2 linked regions of the Sus scrofa genome follow. The protein of the gene in region 2 interacts with the protein of the main gene of each other region in a pairwise test. Links are inferred from orthologs where the notes say so. Each region holds a gene or a part of one and is shown on either strand. Other genes may lie near its edges. The genes, in order: PFDN2 and PFDN5.

The links.
Region 1: the proteins of PFDN5 (region 2) and PFDN2 interact in binary tests that used the Homo sapiens proteins (3 or more experiments, as listed by UniProt). The link is inferred for Sus scrofa from reciprocal best matches to the Homo sapiens genes PFDN5 and PFDN2.

The regions. Positions count from the first base shown.
Region 1 is NC_010446.5:89,325,315-89,329,706, reverse strand, and holds the start of PFDN2 (prefoldin subunit 2), read right to left. Parts: upstream 2,927-4,392; 5' UTR 2,868-2,926; coding exon 2,793-2,867; exon of another isoform or gene 2,650-2,792; intron 1-2,649. Other genes in the region: NIT1 (nitrilase homolog 1), read left to right, coding at 3,006-3,058, 3,628-3,726, 3,983-4,237, 4,347-4,392. UniProt on the Homo sapiens protein: Binds specifically to cytosolic chaperonin (c-CPN) and transfers target proteins to it. Binds to nascent polypeptide chain and promotes folding in an environment in which there are many competing pathways for nonnative proteins.
Region 2 is NC_010447.5:18,511,187-18,515,721, reverse strand, and holds the start of PFDN5 (prefoldin subunit 5), read right to left. Parts: upstream 3,086-4,535; 5' UTR 3,004-3,085; coding exon 2,932-3,003; intron 2,726-2,931; coding exon 2,623-2,725; intron 2,318-2,622; coding exon 2,286-2,317; intron 784-2,285; coding exon 709-783; intron 593-708; coding exon 487-592; intron 1-486. UniProt on the Homo sapiens protein: Binds specifically to cytosolic chaperonin (c-CPN) and transfers target proteins to it. Binds to nascent polypeptide chain and promotes folding in an environment in which there are many competing pathways for nonnative proteins.

The sequences.
Region 1 (4,392 bases), on a different chromosome or scaffold from region 2:
CACAAAAACATAAGGAGGGGTGTTCCCTGGTGGTGCAGTGGGTTAAGGATCCAGCACTGCCACAGCTTCAGCTGAGGTCTAGACTGGGGCTCAGATCTGATCCCTGGCCCGGGAGCTCCATGTGCTTCAGGACAGCTAAAAATGGGAAGAAAAAAAAAAAAAAATACATTCAAAAATGGTAAGGATAGTTATTTCTGGATAGTAGGATCATGGATAATTTATTTCTTATTTTGTAATTTTTCTTGTGTTTTCTACATTTTCTACATTAACGTGTATTATTTTACATAATAAGAAAAAAATCAGTAGTTCCTGCTGTGGTGCAGTGGAAACAAATCTGACTAATATTCATGAGGATATGGGTTCCATCCCTGCCTTGTTCAGCAGGTTGGGGACCCAGCATTGACATGGCTGTGGCTGTGGTGTAGGACCAACAGCTTTAACTCCAATTTGACCCCTAGCCTGGGAACTTCCATATGCCAAGGGTGCAGCCCTAAAAGGCAAACAAACAGACAAAAAAAAAAAAAAATCAACAGTATAACATGTATCATTCTATGACACCCTCACTGCTTATGTTAAAAAGTCCTAAATTCTTTGTCATGCAATGACTCAGCTTGTTTTAAGGACATCTTTCTGACTCATGATTTAGCAAAACAAATCAGTCACTGCACTCCATCTCAATCTATGCTTTCCCAGATCTCCCCTCCTTTCTTGATTCTCTATATTCTATTTCTACTGCCACCTGTTCCAATCTATCCAATCCTTCAGGCTCAGCTCAAATATCTCTAATATGATCATGGTACAAATAGAAAAAATAGGCCTGTCTAATTCACAAGTTCTGCATTTAAAAGCCCTGCTCTCCCAGTTACTGACTCTGAGTAAGTTAATTAAGTCTGAAACTCATCCTGACAATAATACAGCTACTTCAAATAGCAGTAATTAAATAACAGAAGATAAAACAAGTGCCTAGTTTGATGTGTTATTTGCTTCCATCTTGCCTATGTGGCTCAAATTTGCAGCAGTGACAATTATAATATTTTTTTTTACCCAGTGTTCTCTCTGGAACAAAAAGGTCAGAGAATATTAAGCAAGGAATGGCCTCAGAACTCAATTATCAAAATTCTTCAGTCTCTTTTGAGTTTCTTTTTCTCTACCATCACTTAACTATTGATTTCACTCTTATTCTACTTCTTTGTTCACTTTCTGTGCAAACTCTAGAGGATTTCCTCCACAACCATGGCTTTGTCCACTATCCATAAACTCATAATTCTCTAATCTGAAAGTAACAGTGAAAGGTAGAAATGTAATTCAAACACAGATCTGTCTGAACCCATTGCACTCCTTACACTCTTAGCCACCCCACTTTTCCACACTTCCCTTTACCACCCAATCCCCAATCTCAATCTCCTGCTTAGTTAGTTAGGGGTCCCTCCTCTAGCAGAAGGCCCAGTGAGGACACAGAGAACAGACCTGTGGTTGCCAAGGGGGAGAGGGGAGGGAGTGGGATAGACTGGCAGCTTGGGGTTAGTATATGCAAACTATTACATTTAGAATGGATATATGCAATCTCCTGGGATAGACCATGATGGAAAATAATATTTTTAAAAAGAATGTACCTATAGGTACCACTGAGTCACTTTGCTGTGCAGCAGAAACTGGTAAAACATTGTAAATCAACTATAATTTTAAAAAAGAAGAAAAAGCCCTGTGAAGAACACTGTAAAGCTTAATGTTTGGTTTCTTTTTGCAAATGAGTCTGTGAGCTAACCTGAAAACAAGGTTACAAGGCCGTATTTCATTTATGTTTCCCCATACCCAGCAGAATGTCTAACACACGGCAGACCCTCAAAAAGTATTAGGTTCCTTCTCCCTTGCCTTTTTCCCCCTAAGAGGAATTTTCTCTTCCCCCTTCCCCCAAATCCCATAGGGCTGTATATCTCTCTTCTACCTCATACTAGCATTTTCCCCTCCAGACTATGAACTCTGATTGCACGGGTCAATTTTTAAAATCTTTATGCAGATACCTCTGCTACAGTAACTGTTTAACAAATAACTGATAAATGAACCTATAACCAAAAAAGCTGTTGTTTTAACTACGTTTTCCTTTCTGTTACGCAGATTTCTTCCCACTCCAAGTAAACACTAGATCCACTATTAGTAAATCATGATTCCCAAGCAACAAAGGGCTTTCTGATTATTTTTCAATCGTTTCCGGATGCTAGGCACTGGGGAAATGTAAGCTCGGATTAGTAAAGGATTTCTGGTCTCTAAATAAATTCAGTGCAATAATGACTCCCGAATCAAAATAGTATGGAACACTAGACTATTCGCGTATGTGAGTCACGTGGCTCTGCGGAGTGACGACGGTTTTAAACGTGGTTTCAGGGTCACGTAACAGACTACACAATCAACCCGTTGACTAACTCCCTGGGATTCCTTATGAACTGGCCTTGCTCACCCACAGCCTGTTTGAGAGTGCGGAGGCAAAGTGGGGAAAGTGACCACCCTTCTTCCCTCAGACCTGTGCAACCTCCCAGACTCTGCTTCCCTAGAGCTTCCTCCCTCCCACCCCTCGGCTCACCCAACACCCCCAAGGGGGCGTGGCTTTCACCTACCAATCCGCCTATCTCTCCCCAAGGGCTCGGCTAGCTTCTACAAGGACCTTCCCCTCTCTGGGTGGCCACGCAAATGTGCGACTATAGTAAAGGCGTACACCAACCATAGGCTTCTCCCCTCTTCTCGCATCGACTCCGGACCCGGCCGGGTTGCCCTCCTTCGCATTCCCAGCTCCTCACCTGCTCGGCTGACACCGCCCCCTTCCCCGCGCCGCTCCCGCTGCTCTTGCCGGCGCGACTGCTGCTCTCCGCCATCTTCACCGCCTGCTGAGCTTCCGGCCTGCGCAGCTCGGCCCCCGCCTTGCGTCACGTCCGGTCTCGGAGTTACCGCCCACTCGCCCCCGGCGCCAGGCTCCTCTTCTTCCAGGCCCCTGTTCGGTTCGGATCCTGTTAATGGTTTTGGCCGTGCCTTCATGTAGGACCTGCTACCTAGCCCGCCCGCCGCGGTGAATTACACCTGTGGTGCTTTATCTTGTGCAACAGAGACGCTGCCCCTGAGAGAGTCTCCAGATGGGTTAACTGGAGAGCGGGGCGCGGGTTGGGATCTGGGTGCCAGTGCCCTCTGCCCACACAGCGGGTGGTGAGGCACGGGCGGCGGGGTGGGGTAGGGTGAACTTCTCAGAGATTCTGGTGGAAGGGGGAAAATATGCTTTGAGTCAGTAAAACTGTGCAGGTGCACAGTCAATAAGAGAGGCTGGGAAAATCAAGGAAATATCTCGAGGATGACTTTTGAACTGCGGAAACGTTTGGCTGAGAAAAAGGACTTCAGTTTAATGTGAGATCACTGGAAGTCGAGATATTCGAATGCTGCGCAGAGCCCTTTCCTCGATTTTCCCACTTTGTGCTCTCTTCCGGTAGCCGTGATTAACCATAGTTAACGAGTGTCTTAAAGACTTAGGGGTTTTTACCGGTGGTGCCCAGATTCAGCCTCACAGTATGAAGAGAGAAACCAAAGGATCTTAGAAATGTATTGCTTGATGGTGGGGTTGGTGTCCTGATTTCTCACCTTCTTCAGGCTGGGCTTCATCATCAGGCCTCCTCACCAGCTCCTGTCCCTTCTTTTGGGTCCTCGGCTCCGGATACTTCGACTCTCAATACTTTGTGCTCAGCCCAGGTAACATGTTTTGTTGTGTCCTCAGTGCCTGGCACATAGTAGATGCTCAATAAATGAATAGATGTTGGGAAACATTGGGGTGCCAGCCACTCACAGAACATTTGATCAGTGGGTCCTTATTGCATGGATCATTGTGCCTTGTAAGAGCAGGTTTAAAGGGAAGTCTAGCTTTCCTGCCTCCCCCTTTAAGCCCCTTATCATTAAACTCGGGCTTCCCCACTCTAGGAAATCTGAGTCTTGCCTGTGCCATTCACAGACCCAGATCCATGGCTATTTCCTCTTCCTCCTGGGACTTGCCCCTCGTGGCTGTGTGCCAGGTAACATCCACACCGGACAAGCAGCAGAACTTTAAAACATGTGCTGAGCTGGTTCGAGAGGCTGCCAGACTGGGCGCTTGCCTGGCTTTCCTGCCTGAGGCATTTGACTTCATTGGAAGGGACCCTGAAGAGACGCTACGCCTGTCTGAGCCACTGGGTGGGAAACTTTTGGGAGAATATACCCAGCTTGCCAGGTATCAGGGAAAGGGGGAGGGAGAGGTAGTTTCTTTTTGGGTAATATCGGAATTGCCAGATATGAGGGTAGAGACTTGAGAAGAGTTGTCAGTGTCCCCTCCCCCTCAGGGAATGTGGACTCTGGCTGTCCTTGGGTGGTTTCCATGAGCGTGGC
Region 2 (4,535 bases):
TGATCCCTGAGTGGCAAACGCAGAACTGAATTTCTTCTACTTCTTGAAGCGCTGGTGCCCAAAGCCCAACTCTGTTCAAGGGTCAACTGCAGCTGATTTGGAGTAGGCCCAGGTTTTCTTTTTAAATTCTCCAGGTACAGCCAAAGCTTTACTTGCCAGTAGATAGCTAGTTAGGGCTTTATTTCTTTCCTGTGTGTTCATTTACATGCATCTTTTTCCCTATTCCATCTACATTAAATAGGATCTCAAACACAAAAACACAGATGGGATTTCCTTTCTCTAAATTTCTCAAGCACTGAACCCAGGAATCTAGAAATAGCGGATATGTGATGCACAGCATCTAAAGAATAATACATCAAGACACCAAAGAGAAAACCATGGTTTTAATCCAACAAAGGGGACACCCGCCATGGTTCACGCTGCAATTCATGTTCTTGATTATTATGGAGGTAGAAATGGTGAAGAGGTGCCCAAGGCCAAGCTTACCCTGTTTCATGGCATGCTTCTCCTGCAGAGCTGGCTGGATTTTCTCCATTTGCTTGGTGAGGAAGTCTATCTTCCTCTTGAAGAAGTCCTTGGCATCTTCAGCTGTCTGGAAGGTCAGAGGTGAAGGAGGGGCTAAGAGGAGACCTCTTTGTGCACTCTGGATCTCTCCCTAAACTCCCTCTGCCTCCTCAGCGGGGCATCCATACGCTTCCTTCCACTCACCTTCTCTACATAGTAGCCAGTTCCCACATCGATGAGCACATGTTCCACATCATGCAACTTCCCAGGGACGTACATCTGAGAAGCGAGGATTAAGGGAAAACTAGCCCAGCATGAGTCCTGATTTCCTGTCGGCTCATCTGCTTGACCTCCTAAGAACCCCTTTTTCTAAAAACTTAAAAGGTACCGGGATCAGATAATCTGGAGGCCTACACACTCCAAAGGGGAGACACAGGGAAGTTGGTTCCTTATGGAGAAAATTACACATGCTGATCTTGCCCTGATCTCACTGCCACCCTCCAAGAAGTTCTTAGAGTTCTTCCCATTAGCCCTTCCAGAAAGACTAGATGGCTTTTTTTATTGTCTTTTTTAGGGCTGCACCCGCGGCATATGGAGGTTCCCAGGCTAGGGGTCAAATCGGAGCTGTAGCCACCGGCCTATGCCAGAGCCACAGCAACGCGGGATCCGAGCCGGGTCTGCAACCTACACCACAGCTCACGGCCACGCCGAATCCTTAACCCACTGAGCAAGGCCAGGGATCAAATCCGCAACCTCATGGTTCCTAGTCGGATTCATCAACCACTGAGTCATGATGGGAACTCCATAAAGACTAGATGCAGTGTTTCTTTTTTCTTTTTAGGGCCACACCTGCAGCATATGGAAGATCCTAGGCTAGGGGTTGATTCGGAGCTGCAGCTGCCAGCCTACACCACAGCTCACGGCAACACCAGATCCCCAACCCAGCGAGGGAGGCCAGGGTTAGTAGTGGATTGTTTCTGCTGCGCCACAATGGGAACTCCTGGAATGATTTTTCCTGATGCTGTTAAATAGTAAAAGTGAAAAGCCAGCCTCATTTCTCCTTTAACACTCCCAACCATGAAGTAGGTCATTCCCAATAGATTTAATGTTCCTTATCTAAGCAGTCCCTACTATGCGGCTATTCCTGTGTTTCTTTTTCAGCCTATCAATTCTCAGGTGCAGTTTATAGGTGCCCTGTTAACACAATTGGCTCATTCAAGTAAAACACTCAACAGATAGACACAATCCAGGCTTCTCAGTAACAACGGATTAGAAATAAGATCCACAATTAAACTAAAATTGAAGATTAATAAACAGAGCCAACCCCCTTGTCTCTATATCCTCTCTTCTTCCACTGCTTCTGTTTTCTAAGTTATTAGTAAAAAGGGTAGGGAGCTCCTGCTGCGGTGCAGCAGGTTAAAGACCCAGTGTTGTCTCTGAGGTGGCTCAGATTCAATCCCTGGCCCCGGAACTTCCACATGCTGCGGGTGAGGCAAAAGAACCCAAAAAACAAGTCAAAAGTGTAAACCACCAGTTTTATCTCCCTATTAGATTATATCCTCAAACAGCGAAGGAAAAAAATCACACCTCAATTCTACATACACCTTGGTGCTCACCAAACATTAGCTGGATGTTGGCTCCAATGAGATAGCAGAGCTACGAAGTGTGTACTGAGTATTCTCAGAATCTCTGGAGCAATTAGAACCTCTGCCCTTTTTTGCAGGGTAGGGGGTGAAGGAGAAAAGGAGTGGGCGGGGAAACAGTTCCTGCAGAAAGGATACAGAACTCGTCAGTGGGACGAGTAATTCTTTCCCTGTGAAAGCAATTAAGACAGACATGTAGGGAAGGTGGACTTCTCCAGCCTTTACACGTTCAAGGGAGTTTCAGCACCGCACAGCGCCCAGAGACTGTGCGATAAGTATGGAAATAGGGGCAACAGGAGAAGAATGTCCTGTACATTTCAAGTCTACCAAGGCAACATGCAAAGGGCTCCTGCAGCAGTATGCAATACGTAAAGGACCGTTCTCTCGTCTCAGATAAGGACAACTGGATAAGGAAGAGAGAGGAAAAGCCGGCTCGCCCCAACCCCCAGCTTGCCTTCACGCGCCTACCGCATACCCTCGTTGCTCTTGTTCAGCACGTTCAGACAGTCCTTGGCTTCCACATACTTGGTCTGTACCACCTTGAGCTGGGCAATGGACGTGGACAAGAACTCCACTTCCTAGAGAGAAGAGGAATGAGGGTTAGTACGGGGGCTGGTGGGAGAGGAGGGCACCGCCGGGAAGGGGCGGGTGCTGGGACCGAGTCGGGGTTTTGCCTGGGAAGGGAAACCTCCTCCCTCGGCTGGGGAAGAATGGGGAGCGAGGGAGTACGCGTGGCGGGAAGGAAGTGAGGTGGAAAGGGGTGTCTTTGGGGGCCTATTCCCACCTGGTCCAGCTGGTTCTTGAGCATTTCCAGCTGCGGCAGATTCAGCTCGGTAATGTTAACCGACTGCGCCATGTTGGGAAGGAGGACTAACGAAGCGGAAGCCGCCGGGTGAGCAACGCTCTAGCCGTCCTCTGCGCCTCTCGATGGCTACGCCGGGAGGCCTCGCTGCCCCCGACATCTCTATGGTCTTCCGTCCGGGAGCGGAGGAAGAGCTGGGTCTTCTCTGTGATTTACTTGCGTTGGAGTGGAAGAGACAGCGGCGCTTTCTTTTTTAAAGACCGAACTGGAGGCATATGGAGGTTCGTAAGCTGGGGGTCGAACTGGAACTGCAGCTACCGGCTTAAGCCACAGCAGCGCGGGATCCGAGCTGTGTCTGCGACCTACACCACAGCTCACTGCAACGGCCGATTCTTAACCCACTTAAATAAGGACTGGGATCGAGCCCGCAACCTCATGGATACTAGTCCGGTTCCTTATCGCTGAGCCACGATAGGAACTCCCAGGAGCGCTTTCATTACACAAAACATCCCAAGCCTAGCGTCGACAAGTTGCAGCAAACAGGATTCCTGTGAATTTAAGAATCTTTTTTTTTTTTGTCTTTTTGTTGTTGTTGTTGTTGTTATTGTTGTTGTTGTTGCTATTTCTTGGGCCGCTCCCCGCGGCACATGGAGGTTCCCAGGCTAGGGGTTGAATCGGAGCTGTAGCCACCGGCCTACGCCAGAGCCACAGCAACGCGGGATCCGAGCCGCGTCTGCAACCTACACCACAGCTCACGGCAACGCCGGATCGTTAACCCACTGAGCAAGGGCAGGGACCGAACCCGCAACCTCACGGTTCCTAGTCGGATTCGTTAACCACTGCGCCACGACGGGAACTCCTGAATTTAAGAATCTTAAAAAGAGTTCCCGTCGTGGCTCAGCAGAAACGAGTCTGGCTAGCATCTATGAGGACGCTGGTTCGCTCCCTGGTCTCGCTCAGCGGGTTAAAGATCCAGCATTGCCTGTGAGCTGTGGTGTAGGTCTCAGACGCGGCTGGGATCCCACGTTACTGTGGCTGTGGTCCGCAGCTACAGCTCCAATTTGACCCTTAGCCTGGGAACCTCCAAATGCTGCGGGTGCGCCCCCAAAAAGACCAAAAAAAAAAAAAAGTAAACCATGTGGGTGATATAAACCCTAGTGACAACTGGCAAGGAAGGAAGAAGCTTGTTAAGTTCTCTGGTCGTAAAAGGAGGCTTTGGGCAGATGAAGCGGGACTAGAGATGGAGTGGAGATGAGTGGGTGGAGAGAACACAAAGGAGGTACCTCATCAACCAACAAACACAGCAACAGGTTTGTTACTCAATAGTGTTACCATGTGCTAGAAGTGAGGAATACTGCTAAAGTGTATAGCACTGACAGCTTTAACAGTTGTATGTGGGGAGAACAGCAGCCTCTAGCATCCAGTTAGAAAGGGGACAGGACAACTGAGGCATTACAGCTAGTGTCACTCCCCAGATTCTGGAGGGCAGGAACACAGGATAGACATCAGAGTACCTGGCCAAGACTCTCTCTCGCTCTTTTTTTTTTTGTCTTTTTTTTTAGGTCCGCACTTGCAGCATAATGGAA